Linked DNA regions of Caenorhabditis elegans. The protein of the gene in region 2 interacts with the protein of the main gene of each other region in a pairwise test. Each region holds a gene or a part of one and is shown on either strand. Other genes may lie near its edges.

Region 1 (9,210 bases), on a different chromosome or scaffold from region 2:
TAAGAATTCCAATGAAAACTCCCTGTTTTTGATTACTTTTAACATTCTTCCGGTAATTGTTTCTCATTGCTTTTCTGAAGTAGAAGTCTTCTTGAAGAGGAAGCTTGATTCCACATTGAGTCCAAAATTGAATCGCCTGTCCATTCATAAAAACATCCGAAAGAATTCCCTAAAATTCAGACATATAATCCGCAAAACAAAAAAAAATGATCAGCTCTACCTTTCTATCATTAATTGTTTCGAATGTTTTTCTTCCTTGATTTTCGACCAACATAAAAAGCCGATTCTCTTCATTCTCCAGGCAACCTTCAATGATCACTGAGTTTCTGGTCAGGTTGTAATATCTTCGCGTGAGAGTGTCAATGTACTTTCCATTGAGATAAACATGAACAAAATCTCCAAATGAGGGAATTGTCAAGTTTCCACATGAGTTAATTTTCTGTAAACTATGATTTAAAGATACTACTTTATAGCATTTTAAGCATTTTGAAAAAAACCGCTTATACTTTGATCACTTTTTGTCGATAAAAAATTTAGCCAATAAAAATTTAAACCCAAAAATAAATTTCTAACAAACTCACTGCCTGATAAGCTACCAATCCTAATGGATGCTTCAATGTCTCAAAACTGATTGGTTTATCAGTTTCAACACAATCTCCGGGATCTCCCAATGAAGTTAGTGTTTTCAATTTTTCAACGGAATGCACTAGTCTCATCTTGATTTTTCCAAATCTTCCTTTTCTGTAACTTGGAAATATTTTTAAACCGTTTTCTATAAAACTTACGGTGAATTTCCTGGAACATCCAATGGTGGAGTTGGCCAATCAGTCAATCCTTTGATCCATTTTCTTATTTCCAAATATTTGGTTGTTACATCTCCAGATTCACTAATCGGAGCATCATAATCGTAAGAAGTAATGCAAGGAGCCTCAGTTTCTGCACCATTCCAAAATCCAAAATTGGTGCCTCCGTGAATCATATAATAATTGAAACTGGCACCAAGAGAATACATAGTTTGTGATCCATTGATTATTGTTTGTGGAGACGGTAAATTTTGCTTCTTTTGTCCCCAAAGTACCAACCATCCAGGATAATATTCCGAATTTACTAGAGGGCCATTCGGTGCAAATTTTCTTTGTAATTTAAAATTGTTTTCGATTTCTTTAGCATCATCAGTTGGACCAAAGTCTACAGTTGGAAATACTCCTTCCACTGTTCCACATTTTAGCAGAGACTCGGCAGAACCATCAGCTGAATAAATTGAATAATTAGATAAAGTGTTCATTTACTCACTTGTGAATAATAGAACATCATCCCCAACGAGTGATCTTGTAAGATCTCGCAAGAATCGAAGATATTGTTGATCGCATGCATCGTAACTACCGTACTCATTTTCAATTTGAAGCATCAGGACAGGTCCACCGTTTTTACGTAAAAGTGGCTTGACTCTTGGAAGAAGAATTTCAAACCAATTCTCGACTTCGCGGGTAAACCTTAAATTATGTGATTGAACATTTTTGTTTAATTTTAACTAACACTCGATCACTACTTCTTTGCTTTGTCACATTTTTGTTGAGAAGCCACCATGGAAGCCCTCCATTTTCCAATTCTCCACAAATATACGGTCCTAAATTTATTTGTTTTTATTTGAAACTGTGAAGGACTTTCAACATACCGACTCTCAAAATTGTCCATAATCCATATTTATGAAAAGCCATCATGGAAAACTCTGCGAAATCGAGAAGTCCAGAAAAGTCATGACTGCAATTATAAATAGTATACGTTGATTGTTTAAATCTTTTGAAAATGTTCTTACTTTCCTTCTTCAAGCTCGTGCATATTCCATGGAATATAATACTGAATTGCATTAAATCCAAGAGCTCGAACTTTCCCGAGACGTTCGTCCCACCGATCACGAGGAATTCGGAAATAATGAATGGATCCAGAGATGTAACGAAATGGAAGACCATCGAGTAGAAATTGGTTCTTTGATTCGTCAATAAGAAATGAAGGTATATTTCTTAAAATTTGGAATATTACAGATAATGTTAGAAGAAATGTTAGCTGTGTGAAAATGTCTTATATAACTTTGAAGACACATGTTGTGGGTCTTGCCACGCTTTTAAGTTTAAAATTGTCTGCAAGATTTTTTAAATTAATAATTTCGCACTCTAAATCATGTCTAGAGCTACCGAAATTGCAGGTGGAGTATTTCATGTAGAAAACTTTTTGAATCCGTTTCTGAATTGTTAAAATGCCAAATATGACTTTTAAAAAAACATTTGGATTTATAAATTTTTTTTACAAAATATCTCGTGGCGAAAACTACAGTAAGTCTTTAAATGATGATGATCTAAAGAGTTACTGTAGTTTTCGCTACGAAAAAATTTGCGCGTAAAATATGTTGTGCAATACGCATTCTCAGAATTTTGTGTTCCCGTATAATTTGGATGTAGGCAGAAACAATTCTAATGAATATTTATTATAATTGTATTCCAACTTTTAAATTTGAACATCGTATGGTTTCGAACCTGTGTCAATGATTGGAATTTATCAAAAAATCTGCATTTTTGCAAAATTTGACATTCTGCCAAAACTTTGACTGAAAATTTATGATTTAAAAAAAAGATAGTCTGTCCTTACGGAACCCGGATCTTTTGAATATTTACCTATCACCAATTTTTGGAATATTCCAATTGCCGTAACTTGTTCTGACGATACCTTCAGATTGAATGCAAAAATTTAAAAACAGAAATATACAGCTTTTCCATAATTCCATCTGAAATCTATACAAAATTTTAACATTTAATGAAGAAAAGAGTGCATCTGAAAACAATGATAACGAAGAAAACCCAATTGATTCGAATGATAAACAAAAGAAAATTAACAAATATAAACTTTTCTTGAGAACATTGGAGAAACGAGAAAGACAAACAAAACTCAGAATATCTCTTTTCTTGTCTGAATTAGAAAGAAGAGGTGTCACTTTTCCACCCGACATTTCAATCATTTTGTCAACTGTCCTTCGGCCCATCGACTCGTTCGCTGTAAACCACATTTTTTGTAAACAAATGAATCTTATTGGGACGGATCGGATTTATTATAAAACACATGTGTAAGAGAGAATCAGACTGACAAAAGTTCGGAGATTAGAATTACATTTTTTCGAAATTTCAGAAGCAAAATAACATTTAAAGGGATGAACAGAAGAGATCAGAATTTTATTCTTTTAAAAACGTTGGAATCCAGCGTTGTTTCCGAATGGTCCATTTTGGTTTCCTGGTCCTCCGAACGGCATTCCTCTTTGTTGATTGAATCCTTCTGAAAATATAAATTTTTTAAATTCGTCTGCTTTCCGAAATAAAACATACGTTGATGTTGCTGCTGTTGTTGTTGTTGTTGCTTATCGTTCTGACTAGCCAGGGCATCATGGATCAGGTTCATTATCCGATTCTGGAGTTGATCGACAAGAGCGGCGTCATTGATCTGTTCCATTTTTCTCCAGATCATCTTTCCGAAAAGTTCATGAATGTTGCTGTTCTTTCCGAATCCAGGAACTTCCATTGATGGTTCTGGTCCAGCAAATGGTTGAGCGCCCTTAAATTCAAATACGATTATTTTAACATCAAAAAGTTGTTTTCTTACGTTCATGTTATTTCCAATAGCTCCTTGTCCCACATTGTTAGCCGATGGTCCATTGTATCCTGAAAATAATATTGTTGAAAAGAGAAAATACATATTGGCTCTCATTGGTAAGAGAGCAGATCTACTAATAAAACTAAAAAACTACAAGGATTTGAATTTTAGACTCGAAAGTAAATGTTGTTTGGGGACACTACTGCGACAATCATCTTTGATTTTCAAATTTTTTAAAAATAAACTTTAAGTCTCGATGGACTATTTATTTAAAAAGAATTCGATGGAAATATCGAAGTTTCTTTTGGGAATTGTGTTAGGAACAAAATTTAGTATCTCCTCAATTTTTATACTTCATTTTTTATTTTCCTAAAAATATTTTTAGCCACGCGGTCTAGAGCCTTTTTTTGAAGTTCGAAATATCTTTTGAGATGTCAGAGTGTCCCCTTTTAACAACAGTAATTTTTTACGGAGATTATTTGAATCTCTGATAGAAAACAATCAAAAGAAAATAAATGACACTCGTTTCATTATGAAAACATAACTAGACCTGAAGGTGGGGCTCCATTTCTATTGCCGTTGTTCTGCAAACTTCTTGTTCATTACATACATCGAGTGAGGAGTTGTATCATACAACGGAGACAGAGACCGTCATTTACTACTCATGGATTTTGGAACTAGAGACTCTTCCGAAATATATGGTGAATCTAACTAGTAATATTTTAAATCGCAAAAAAAAAGTTTCACTTTACGGTGAATGCAAATTTTGTTTTTCTTTTCAATTTAACAATATAACAAAAAAATTTGAAAGAAAACATCGAGCACTTGCTCTTTTTGGAAATTGAAAAGTAAATTTTTTGAATTAATACATCTGAAATTAACAAAAATGGAGAACTGTTTTTTTTTCATTTGATGATTAGAGCCAAGAAACCGATATGCCTGAAGAATGTGGTATAAAAAGGATCAAAAGATCCGAGAGCATTTTTACTCTTATTGAGCAACACGAATTAAGAATTCATTGAGCCAGTCACCACCGTCATTTACGATTCTTCTCCATTCTCTAAAACATTTCTTTAAAGCCCTAATCAAGAAAACCTGTACGTCGGAAAGAATCTTGAAGTCCTATGTCAAAGCAAGACTCTTTACTGCGACCAGAAATGGACGAATTCGTCAAAATGTTGTGAAAAATTATTAAATTTCTGAATTCAGCAGAAATATCGCCCAATAGTAATATAATCAAATTTTATTTTTAATCATCTTCTGGTAACTTATCTGATCATTTTGATCGCTATATATTTAGGTCTAACTTAGAGAATCCGGTGGGCTGGCTCAAGATTTGAAGAAACTGATATAAAGCGTCCAAGACATTGCGAAGAACAGGAGAAACAAGGATTTTCCTCAAAAATACCTTTCCACTGCCATTACGACGATTTTGTCCGTTGAAGAAGTTCATGTTTCCATTCGGTGGGCCCATGAATCCTGGTCCTCCTGGTCCTCCTGGTCCCATTGGGCCGAAGGGTGGAACCATTTGCATCATTGGAGGCTGGTGATGTTGGCGATTTTGGTTGCGATTTCCTCCATTCTGGTTCTTATTATTTTTGTTGTTTTGCTGAAAAAAAACAATTTAATTTTTTAGAACGAGTGAATCGAAATATAATCGTGAAAACTTGATATTAGTGAAGTTAAATGAGAAAGTGCTTACATTATTTCCTTTTTTCTGGTTGTTGCTGTTGTTTCCAGCTTTCTTGTTGTTATTATTAGTTGTAGGCTGTCTCTTGATTGGCTTTCCATTCGCATCAACTCCCATTCCAGATGAACCCATTTCGACGAAGTTTCTGTAAAAAAAAAAATAATATTTAATGAGTAAAAAGCGACAAAACGAGAAGAAATAAAGAAATAAAGAAATAAATGTAAAAGGAAAGACGTGTGGCTGGTTATTTAATCACGAGACAGCGTTCGTTCAGTGTTCTCCACAGCGGCGATCGATACGGAACGAGTAAAAAGAGTACGCATCAGGTGGAGGGCGCAGATATCGCTGCGAGACCTGCAGTCGGTAGAATTGGTCGCCCCTTTAAATGGAAATTGAAAGGAGACACCTCTTCTCGTTGAGAAATACGAAGTGGGCGATATCGAGATATGGGGAAATAGACATCAAAAAATAGATTTATAATATTGATTTCAAAATGGAACTTTTAATATTTTTTCCCAAAACCCAGAATTTATCGTCGTATCCAATGAAAAATTGCTCTCAACTGTAAAGTTAAAACTCGACCATGCACATATTTCCACTCTAGCGATTCTTAAGACATTATCGAGGTCGCATTTATATTTTAAAATATAATGAATGTTTTCAAAGCGGAAAGTGCTAGAAAAAGCAAAGGATTACTCCAATATGTATCTAAACGATAGAAAAGCTCACTTTTCCGTTCTACCCAATTGGTGGTGTCTCTTTACGAAAAACCATATATATAGAGAGAGTTGTGAGGGGCTTTTCTATGAACGGAAAAAAGTGAACAAACATGTTTAAACAAAGAAAAAACCATGGTGAGGTCAAAATGTAGATAAGGAATGAGACAATGTATATTTGGCTTAAGTGTAGAACTTGATCTCAATAAAAAACACATAAGTCAAACAAAGATAAAGATACTTTTAAAAAAAATATATATATTCGAAAGCAAACAAAAATTAACGGCAAAATTCGGTTAAATACATTTTAAGGTACTCACGTGGTGTCAGAGTGTCCCATTTCGATTTGTTCTACTTAGACCTACTAGAATTGCGTGCGTGAATTTAGACACTATCTCCTCAACTGATTTCGCATGATTAAGAACGTGCTGATGTCCCATTGTTTGTAGATCAAACCGTTATGGGACAATCTAACAGCGAAAATTTATAAAATTATTGTTGTATGTTATTCTTTGGAGGCATATTTTTAATGGAAAAAAGGAAAATATCTAGAAGTTTTTAGTCAACCTTGCACATTCTTTCTGATATTCGACTTGATGAGGTCTTCATCTTACTGATTTGATGATGTTACATAATAAGAACTATTTTTATAAAAATTACATACAATAACATTCAACAATAATTTTATAAATTTTCCAAAAGAAGTAAACACATGTTCTCATGCATTCCGCCATCTTTTTCAAAAACTCTGACTCCGGCTCTGTACCGTGTGAGCACTTGAAATCATACGGAGCAGACAATGAGTGCTAATGTGATATGCAGAGATTTAGAGATATGTTAACAGGACAAGCGAGACAATCCTCGCAACACACCCATCACTTTTTGTTCACTGATAAAGTTTTGTTGTATAGGTGTTCGCACTGCGAATCCCTTTTTAAGATTCAAATTTTATATCTTTATGGCAGTCTATCACTTTCATTATTGCAGAGACAAGTTTTTTTGCCGATTTTTCGATTTTTGTGCGGAATTGTCTAGTAGTGATAAAAATAATATCTCTTACATGTGGATATTAGTACAATTTTTACAGTCGAAAAGTTAGGAAAACTCAGTTTTCATCTCTCAAATTTTGAAAGTCGATCAAACAATTTTTACTAGTCTTATATTATAGCATCGATTCAATTTTTCGTATTTAAACATTCTAAGGTTTTGAGCCTACGGTAATGTTAGGAATTATTTAAAAATGCAACATTTAAAAAATTGGCAATTTACTAAAACTTGGACTGAACATTTTTAATAATCTAAAAACTATTTGAAGTGTTTTATTATGATATTTGGTTATGACTATTATAAGTGTACTTAGTTAGAAGCCCTATACTCCAGGTCCAAGAAAACAAGTAACATGGCAAAAAGTGAAATGTACTCGTTTTTATAGACATTACTTGTCTAAACGCCACAAATTCTTACTAAACTCCCGCACCTCAAAAAAATACAGTTTTAAAACTTTGTCAAAAGTTGTTGTGAAGTTTCTGAAACCTAAGCTGTTGTGAGCAAAATGTGGCTTGAAGTGTGACAAGAAGTCACCAAAGCGCATAGAATACTGGCCCGTTTTGCCGAGTAAATTATACGAATCATTTAGAAAACTCAAAAATTCTGCAATGAAATTGTGGAACAATTGAACGCTACTCATGTTCCGCGAAACTTTGAGCTTATTCAAATGGAGTATCTAAACATTTTTGTAGATCTAGTAAAAACCGTATTACTGTTTTCACGTTTTCACATTTATGCCAATTGTATCGAACATCCATAAAATCAACACCATATCCCTTTTTTCCAATCAACACCGTAATGTACTCGTCGTCATTTCCCCCTCTTCATAAAAAAGTGCATAGCAAAAATGGTGATCTCATTGGAATTGTATAAATAGTTTGCCTTCATGAAAAAATACAAGTTTTTTGTCTCATTCTGCTGCCAATGGAGATTATGATAAGAAAACAGTTTATTATCAGTCTATGTAAGGAGGAACGTTTGTCCTTCTGTTCTCTCCGTTTGTTTTGTTTCCAACAAGTTTCTTTTGGATAAATGAGAGAAAATGAGAGGGAAAGACCCACCCTTCTCCCTGTCACTTTTTTCGTGTTTCCTTATGATAATGTTAAGATGATGGATAGATTTTTCATTGCTATCGACACTTTTTGCCAACTTTTTTCAATTCGTTTTTTATTGCGCGCCATTCTCGAAACCTATCTACAAGTTAAACTTTATAGTCTATTTATTTCCAAGAATACCAAAACAATTGAAAAAAAAAACTATGATACTGCTGAAAAATTAGGTTTCCATTTTTAACTCAAATTTTAAACTGAAAGGTTCCTAAGACTCAGATTCTGACCTATAGTCTGGCCTGACAGCCTAAGAGTTTAACGCAACTAATTTTTTCTGCAAAGGTGCAAATCTAAATGACTGTTTCGTGTCCTGAATGGTTTCACAAATTTTGCTGCTCAGTAATGGAAATATTAACCTTATATGTTTGAAGTAGGAAAGTTAGTGTAGGCATTTTTTCAAAACATGCTCGATTTAAGGTATCAGCTTCACTCTTGGTCATGGACAATGGAAAGTAGGTATCTGGGAAATTGGAACATGTATGGTCGATTGTGTAATAGGATTATTGCGTCCTGCAGCGCGACCGATCTCTCTTTCTCTCTGTGTTTTGCCTGGCGGGATCCCGACATCAAATTCATCACGCTTCGATGAAACATTTGAACCGCTTCTTCGCTTATTCTGATTTAGGATCTTCCTTGGAAACAGTCAAGGAAACGTTGTCTCCAGAACTTTATGAGAACGTAGAAATCTGATTGATAGTGTAGCTGTAACTCGATTTGAACTTTTTTTTATTCTTGAAATGTGGACTTTACCCAAATTTTAATCAGCTTAGCCCACCTCTGTTCAAGATTATTCATTGTTATCAAAAAGTTATCATTTTCTATATGGCAAAAAATAGTGAAATGAACGTTTTTTTTTGTTTATCAGTCAATCAGCATAATCTCCTCCTGTGCCCTTTGTCCTTTAGTTTCACAAAACTCTATAAAAACGATTCGAATGATTTGATTTCTTAAGTTTACTCAATCTGCTCATTTGTTTTAGAGTTCATGGAATTGTTTTGAAACAACCAGTGAA
Region 2 (8,606 bases):
ACATGCAACGTCTATTTCAGATGCATGTACCGCCTGTATATATATTTTCAGAATGTGTAAACATTTTCAGGTGTTCCCGAGAAGTTTCCCGTTAGTTCGTTCCATATTTACATTGAAGATAGGACTGATGATAATGTGACCAATGAGTTTACGACAAAGTTTCAATCGATTGTGAGATTTTTCTTGCAAACTTCAAAAATATAAAAACTTTCAGACCTCCGACGAAGCAATGATCACCACCACTCATGTTGTCGTGAAAACTACTGAAGACGGAATCCTCGAAACGGATGATTTGAACCTTTTAATTTGGATCTTCCACGGATCAATAATTGTTAGGGATACGTGGATGGTTGATTGCCTCAGAGACGAAAAGTTGATTGAAAAAGACTGTGACTATCTTGTCGAAAAAGTGAAATACAAGGGAATCATCTACGATACAGTAACCCAATGGTCCAATGCAATGGCAAAAGCAACTACTCCATTCTTGTACGGTGTTCATGTGGCTCTCTGTATGAAAAATTGCCCATATTGTGAGTAGAATTTAGGTTATCAATATTTAATTTAAATACATTCAGTGGCAAGTCTGACTGCAATCATCCAAGGCCAAGGAGGAACTATGCTGGATAAGTTCCCTGACAAAGATGCCTTTAACAAAGGATCCCATCCCTACCTTCACAAAAATCTTGGACCGATCTTTCTTCTTCACGATGGAACTGTTGGTTTTCCAGATTTAAAATGTTTTCAATTCGTTTCCTGTTTCAGGGCGACTTGGATCTCTACAGATCTGACCCAGACAAAATGTTCACCCTTTTCACCGAGCAACAGTTTATGGATCTGCTGTTCAAACGGGAAATCAATAAAGATACAAATCCGAAGATTATTCCAGTGCTTGTCGACGAAGAAGATTGATAATTGATTGAATGTAGAATGAATATTTAGTTGAAGGAATATTATGTAGAATGGTTTTCAGATATTTGAAATATGGTTGGCATTTTAAATTTGAAATACTCAAGTTGAATATATTAACTAGATTCGAGAAATCGGAATATTGTTCTTCATAATTAAAATGAGACTGTACTCATGTCCTACACAGTAATCACATCTTCAGGCAGCATCCGGGTTTTGTTTTTAATGGATTTCATGACAAATATCTTCTGATTCCTGAATGAAAGGCGCGAAGAGGCAGGTTAAAGGCGCCTCATCACGCCTCGACCTGGTGGAATTTTTATTTCAGATGGTTTGGGAAAATAGAAAACGTTTTCGTAATCTTTATTTCATTTCGGTTTGCTGCTTTCACTCACGAAAGCAAGAATTCTCTATCCTACAAATTGTGATCCGCTATTTTCAAAAAGTGTATCTCGACTCAAATTCAGGTTTTTCCTCATTTTTTCCTCAACGTCTGGCGGAATCGTTTCTCACGCACTGCATCCTCGGCATTAGCGCAATCCCAAAATCTTTTTTCGTGCGCACCGACCAAACAGCTCTTATCTGACATGTTCCATCGAAATAGGCGACTTTTCCGCTGCCCCGCATTCTTCTACCGTTACACACGTACAATTCAATCAATTGCCCAATTCTTGTTTTTCGCCTTTTTTGTCAGATTCAAGCTGCCACATTTTGATTCTTTACTTGATCATCGGTTTTGATTTGACGGTTTTTTGCTGTTTTCCAGTTAAATTATGCACTTATTAGAGAAGATATCTGAATGATGGAACCAAAATCTATATTTTTATTGGGCTTGTTACTATTCCGAGTTGGGAAACTTATGAGAAACGATAAACTCGCATGGAGCGCGGAATACGAAGCAAAGTAATTTCATATTTTTCATTAAAATCAAAACTATAGTAGTTAACTATAAATAATTGTTTTAATTTACAGAAAATTCAAGTTTTATCACAATACATCTTTATTTCTAACTTTACAATCTACGGGTCCTGAGATGGTGAGTTAATACTTTAAACAATGAGTTAATGTTTTTGATACGTAAATTTCAGACAAATTTATGTAAAAAGAGCTGGTGTGACAAGGTTGATGATTATTTTGTAGTCCCACATCATTATGTCAATTGGCAAAAACCAACCGAGCAATGGCTAATTCATCATTTTTCGTGAGTTTTTGACTTAAATGAATTAGCCTGAAGGTTTTTCTAATTTTTTAACTAAAAATTCTAATAAATTTTCCAATGGTGCGCGCAACTGCGCTCCACTGAGCAAGTTCGAAACTCTGTAAGATGTATAATAATGTTTTTTTTTTCAGAAAAATGATTCTTCATACACGACGCCTTCCCCAACAAGCTCAATGGTACATGTTTGCATTTGATAATAATTATTTTTTCGTTGAACGTCTCATAAAAGAACTGTCGAAATTCGATTCGCATCTTCCGATATACACAATTCTCCGGGATTTTCACGCTGATGTAAATTTCAATTACTGTATTATTATGAGGACGCAACAAAATTCCCCTTTCTTTTCAAATAGACGTGGAAACGCGCTCCATGGCGATTTGAAAACGCTCCACCCCCAAACAGTGGGTCTCGTTAGGTATTTGCCGGAAAACCCGCAAATTCAAATGTTTTCAATTAGTTTTGCTGTTTTCGTCTACTTTCAAGCATTTTTCGTCCTTTTTTGGCATATCATAGAATGCTATGTTCCGTTTCTTATGAAATGATATTTTAAATGTGCATGGGAGTTGAAAAGTGAGTTAGGTTTTCTCATGGTACTTTAGAAATTTCGTCATAAAGAGAATTACAAAATAACAAAGAAAGCGAAAAATTGGCGAAACCAGTTGAAAAACTTTGAATAAATGGTTTTTGTGCCCAAATACCTAACGAGACCCATGACTGGGAGGCGGATCGTTTTCAAATGTACGTATGTAGAAGCGCGCTCCACAGATTTTTTGCGTCCACATAATATCAGTAATTCAATATAACACAAAGTTTCAGATTCAACACAAACCAGTGCTGATATTCTCTCGTTCTGCGCTAAACACATTCTATGATCTTGAAGAAGAAAATTGTTCTGAAAATGCTGAAAATGTGGAGGAATGGCTGACAACGTGTATGTCAATTCCACCCATTACTATTTCAGTGGACAGATCCAAAAAGAGCAGGTTGACTTGAATTTCAAATAAAAATTGATTTATCTTATTTAGGATATTTGCCATAAAAAGGCACTTTCAAGTTGATGAAATGAAAACAATGCCAAATGATTATCATGATGATAAAGACTACATTCATAGGCATTCGAGTTCGTTGTTATCCTTTACTAATTTATCGTTGGAAGATCTGAAGCTACTACCAATATTTGTGGAGAAAGTCCAAGGAGGATACAAAAAGAAAGCGGCTTCAAAAATTTTATTTTAGAATCAAATTGTTGTGTTTATAAAACAAATCAAATCAATAAAACCAAATAAAAATTACACCCGAAATTGAATTCTTGAATTCAAGCGTTTTGTTTCAAAAATTTGAGATCAACTGATGAAAAAGGTAAAATACCAGCAAACAGAAGGATGAATAGATATGATTGAAGAGCAAACACATAATCAATTTGACATGAGATTTACAAAGATTCAATTAAGTTAGAGTGATGCGGTCAATGATTCGGCTGTCCATTGATGTGGTCGAAGGTGAATCAGTATTTGAGAAAGCATCTCGAAGTATTTTGATGGCCAATGGTGGTTTTGCAGATTCAAGTTCGTCCCATGCCTGAAATTGGTTGCTTGTTCGACGTAATTTCATTCTCTCATTAACTTACAGTTAACTTCATGCACTCATGTTTATGATTCGAGAAGAAATCCAGAAGCACGTCATAGGTATCATCAAGTCTTAGCTCTGCAGCCATACTAATACGAGTGAGCACATTATCGACAGTCACTTTTGAACCGATGAGCCGAGCCACTTCATCACGCAATGAATTTATCATTAGTCTGATAAAAAACAATACTAGAATGTTTTAATGTAAAAATATCCAACCTATCCATTGCAGATATAAGGTCCTCGGTTAGTTGATCCTCTTCGAGCTTCACAACTCGACCAGCAGCGGACGCGTACATATGGCGAAGCAAGACGTCAAGAGTGCGAGCAGAAATGTCATCAAACTGGAGACGCTTGGACATAAACTCCTTGGTTGAATGATTTCTCAGGAGAACTTTGAAGTATTCAGAACGTGCTGCCAGGATGCACATATGAGTTGGGAATTCACGACCACACGAAGCGACTATAATGAAGTCGCTAAATTCTCCGGTGGATAGAAACTCTGTGAATGCATCTGAAAGTGATTAAACAATGAAAATTTCCAAGCTGTTAAAATCACTAACCATGCGCAGACGATTCGTCGATCTTCAAACATTTTGTATTGGGAGACGATAGGGATCGAGATGTTGAAGAAGCGCTGTGAGTTCTTTGATATGGCTTGAACAGGCTTGAGATCTGTGTCGTACATTCACCGAAAATTGTGAGCTCACATCCAATTGTCAGAATATCGTTAGGAATGTAGACATTCATGGCACTCTGCATTAAAATAAAAAATTGAAGTTGAAAAAAAAACAATCCGACTTACCCTGAGAATGTCTAATGAAAAGAACTTGCTTGCAGTCACGATACCACTACGATTGATCGTAACAAGATTCTTATTGAGATGGCAACTTCTTGGACCGTCTGCTGTTTCGACTGTAAAGCTGACACGGAAACGGAGACGAGGATTAGGGCATTCTGGAAAGAATCTTCGTAAATAACATTTAATAACGAAAAATGAAACACTTAAAGTTCTCTACGTACTATTTATGAGCAGAAAAAGTGAAAGATATCCGGCGGTTTCTTCGTCTTTCCCATTCGGAAATAGTTTCATGACAAACTCATAATCCCCATCTCCAAATTTACTGAAAAATGTAAAACTGATTAATCTTAAACATATTATATTTGCTTACGGTGCCAGCATGAATTCTGCTGGATTGTGAAGCTCTAATTGTACCGTGAAGCGCTCAACGGACCAATAATTGGTAAAGCTTCTCTCATTCATAACCGTACGGCAGCCGGAAACAATGCTTGGACTTTTTCGTTTTTCGGACTTCCCAGACGGTGAGCTGAAAATTAAAAATTTTGGAGAAAAAGAGGTCGTCAGAACTTACCGTGACGGAATCGAAACAGCCGCATTTTCTGGTTGAGCCCCGTTATTGATTTCCATTCTGTAAGCTGATGATGAATTGAAGTTGACTTTGAAACTATAGAATAATGAAAAGTAAATATAATTATTTGATAAACTTTATATTTTAACTGATAATAAGCAACTTCCTATCTAGAAGTAGCTTCTAAGAAAGCCAAAACAAAAAAATTGGATTTTGAAACTGCAGTACGACGCTCCGAGATGACGCAGCGCGTGTAGTTTAGCGTGCCAATCTTTTCGATTTTTCGCGGATAAAACATAAAATTTCCCGGTTTTTTTGCACTAATTTCTTTTTTGATAATTTCTAGAAAATCTCATTATGCCACGAGATGATCCAATCACAGAAGAAGAGCGCCGAGCAAATTCCGCAACCGATTTAATTCGGATGAGACTGGCAAGATTGCAACAAAATATTGTAAGTTTAATTTAGCTAAAAATATAATAATTTTATTTGTTATAATTGCAGGACAAGCCCGCTCCAATTCCAATTAAAAAGGAGACACTGAGAGCGCCAAAAGAACCTTTGGAATTCGTGAGAAATGTCGTTGGTTCTTCAGCTGCTGCCGGAAGTGCTGAATTTCATATTTACAGGTTAGAAAAGTTATACTTTTAATTTGTCTTTTCATATCCAAATTTCAGAAACAACCGACGAAAAGAACAAAATCGACTTGACTACATTGATGCGGTAGCAAAAAAAGAAGAATTGGACGATGCCTACCGTCACAAAGTAGAAAAACTTGAAAAGGAAGAAGAATCAAAAACCGCGAAGAAGAGAGCAAAGCGATTAAGGCAAAAAGCTGCTGCTAAGAAGAGAAAATTGACAAAAAAGAATAATGAATCTGACGAGAGCTCATCAGATGATTCGGATTCAGACTCAGGATCAGGATCTGATAACGAATCTGAAGGAAAACAAAACACAGAAGTCGAAGACAAAGATAAAGTTGAGAAGGAAGAAACGGATGATGAAAAAACTGAAGTTTCTACTTGAAGTTTTTATTACGGAATAACTTATTTGTACATGTTTGATTTAATATAATTGTTTTTCTCAATTGATGTTTTTTTTTGTATCAAAATTCTGAAAAATGGTATATATGTCCATTACATTTTATATTGTCTTTTGTTAATTGTGTTTTCCCTATTTACATATTTCAGTAGCAACTAGTCGAAATGCCGTCCTTCTGGACGCAAATTTCGGGACCACGGCTTTATGGAATTTTTGGACAACCCAATCGACAGGAACCAACACTGGAAAATCTCGGAAACACCGTCATATCGTTTTCTGCAGGTTATATTATTTTATGAAGCATAACCTTTTCCAAACTTGTTTTTAGGAATTTACTACATTGCCAGTTCATTAGCTTTTGGCCCCGTAATATTATGTTACTTGTACAGTCGAGACTGGCTCACACCAGCTGGAATGCTGACAATTCTGAAATATGCCGGATATTTAACACTAATCGGTTATGGAGCAAGAACATTCGGTCGGCTCTTTGACGAAACAAACTCGAGATTTTTAGATATTTGGGAAAACGAAAAAAACAAGGTATCAGTTGAAATCTTTATGTTTATGTATTAATTACGTTTCAGAAGGATGACAACAGTCATGCAGCACTAAAGAAGTACGACTTTGAACTTCTAGACGTGATTCCCGATTTTGTAGCTCGCCCCAATTCGGATTTATGGCATTTAAAACCAGAAGTCGCTGAAGCCGGCGTTGTTACTCGCGGTCTGGCGAGTTGGGCGATTCACGCATTTGGAAGACATTTGATTTATCCCGGATCAATGGCACTTTTGAAATACATGATGAGACCAAATTTGAATGCTGCACGAAAGCTTCTGGTTCAAAATAAGGTGAACGACTTTAAAAACAAAAACAATTTAAGTTCAATAAAAAATTCTGACACGGGCAGGATTCGAACCTGCGTTCGGTTAGAACCGTTTGAGATCAAGTGTCTCATGCCTTAAACCACTCGGCCACCGTGTCAGTGGTTCTGAATTTATGGCAGGCTGTAAACGGGACAGTATAATAGTAGATTATGGTTGTAAATGAATACAGTGTTTTAATCCTTGTGTCAAATTCTGAAAAAAAAACAAAATTTCTTTCCTGAAAGTAGATTTCTAGCTTTTGAAGAAAAAACGGTAAAACATAATTTTGCAACTAATTAATTTGCATTATTTTCAGAATGGGCAGCGTTTGTGGATCAAATCGTCAGAAGGAGACACTCTCGATGCGATGTTTTTGAGAGGCACTAATCAATCACAGGATCTTATAATATGTTTTGAAGGAAATGCCGGATTTTATGAAATTGGAGTAATGAACTCTCCTGCTCAATTGGGATATACGGTAAAACAATCTTTTTCGTAGCCAATTTCATTTATTCGACTTTTCAGACTCTCGGCTTCAATCTTCCGGGCTTTGGAGAAAGTACGGGACTTCCATACGCAGTAAACACTTTAGCAGCTGCAGACGCAGTAATGCAGTACGCTATTCAAGTTCTTGGATATCGCCAGGAGAATATTGTTCTTTTTGGGTGGTCGATTGGCGGGTTCCCAGTTGCTTGGCTCGCGTCCAACTATCCAAGTGAGTATAATTTATGCTATAAAAAATCTTCTAATATATAATTTTTAGATGTAAAAGCAGTTGTATTGGATGCCACATTCGACGACTTACTGCCACTTGCGCTGTTCAGAATGCCGACGGTACAAAATTGAAAAAAAAAATTGAGGTTAATGTTTCCATTTCAGTTCTTCTCTACCATTGTGGAGCATGCGATCAGAAACCATATGAATCTTCAAATCGATAAATTGGTATGTTAAGAAACCTTTAAAACTGCTCGAAAGACTACTTTAATTTCCTAATTTTCAGCTCGCTCGTTACAAGGGACCAATCCGTCTGATTCGACGCCTCCAAGAAGAGATTCTGACCACTGCAGTTGATGATCAACCCGAGAATGTTCGACGAGCAACAAATCGAATCAATTGGCTACTCAAATCGATCATCAAAGACAGACATCCCGAGTTGATTCAAAATTTGGAACCACAAGTAGATCGTTGGCTCGACATGACTCCAACCGAACGGCTCATGCATTCGGGAGTCAGCTTGCGCGAAGAATCAACACAAAGAAAACGTCTTTTTGATGCATGTAATCACTATTTGATTGATTTCGACGCAAATCACGTTACTCCTCTCGATCCACAGTAAGTTTCTCATTTCCAGTAAATCTTTTCATCGCAAAGTTTCAGATACTTCAACATTCCGCATGGCCGTGATACCTTCTAGGCAACCATCTCAATTATCAACTCAATTGTTCACCTTTCTCTTTGTCCCAACTCCCCAATCGCTTGTACATTTAAATAATAATTGTATTTAGAATAGTCGATAATATTGGGTGCAATATTTCTTTATTTATCGAATGTCAAAAGAAAGCTAGTATTTATTTGTATTT

Evidence for each region.
Region 1: the proteins of bath-41 (region 2) and pqn-70 interact in a two-hybrid assay, tested with the Caenorhabditis elegans proteins (one study listed by BioGRID).

What each region holds. Positions count from the first base shown.
Region 1 is NC_003283.11:11,223,233-11,232,442, forward strand, and holds pqn-70 (Prion-like-(Q/N-rich)-domain-bearing protein), read right to left. Parts: upstream 5,472-9,210; 5' UTR 5,459-5,471; coding exon 5,339-5,458; intron 5,246-5,338; coding exon 5,045-5,245; exon of another isoform or gene 4,221-5,044; coding exon 4,187-4,220; exon of another isoform or gene 3,705-4,186; coding exon 3,646-3,704; intron 3,598-3,645; coding exon 3,372-3,597; intron 3,322-3,371; coding exon 3,230-3,321; 3' UTR 3,084-3,229; downstream 1-3,083. Other genes in the region: bgal-1 (Beta-galactosidase), read right to left, coding at 1-169, 221-439, 582-741, 786-1,251, 1,294-1,493, 1,537-1,627, 1,676-1,761, 1,817-2,020 and 1 more.
Region 2 is NC_003281.10:6,717,077-6,725,682, forward strand, and holds bath-41 (BTB and MATH domain-containing protein 41), read right to left. Parts: upstream 5,183-8,606; 5' UTR 5,182-5,182; coding exon 5,126-5,181; intron 5,081-5,125; coding exon 4,925-5,080; intron 4,877-4,924; coding exon 4,776-4,876; intron 4,710-4,775; coding exon 4,558-4,709; intron 4,509-4,557; coding exon 4,316-4,508; intron 4,267-4,315; coding exon 3,972-4,266; intron 3,926-3,971; coding exon 3,754-3,925; intron 3,705-3,753; coding exon 3,573-3,704; 3' UTR 3,363-3,572; downstream 1-3,362. Other genes in the region: Ankyrin repeat-containing protein F37A4.4, read left to right, coding at 71-171, 215-530, 576-715, 763-909; bus-22 (uncharacterized protein), read left to right, coding at 1,706-1,809, 1,879-1,942, 1,995-2,107, 2,257-2,416, 2,943-3,109, 3,152-3,362; F37A4.2 (PRKRIP1 family protein), read left to right, coding at 5,480-5,575, 5,627-5,751, 5,800-6,148; F37A4.1 (alpha/beta hydrolase), read left to right, coding at 6,328-6,445, 6,492-6,703, 6,748-7,011, 7,343-7,504, 7,552-7,741, 7,790-7,860, 7,906-7,968, 8,027-8,358 and 1 more. UniProt on the Caenorhabditis elegans protein: Probable substrate-specific adapter of an E3 ubiquitin-protein ligase complex which mediates the ubiquitination and subsequent proteasomal degradation of target proteins.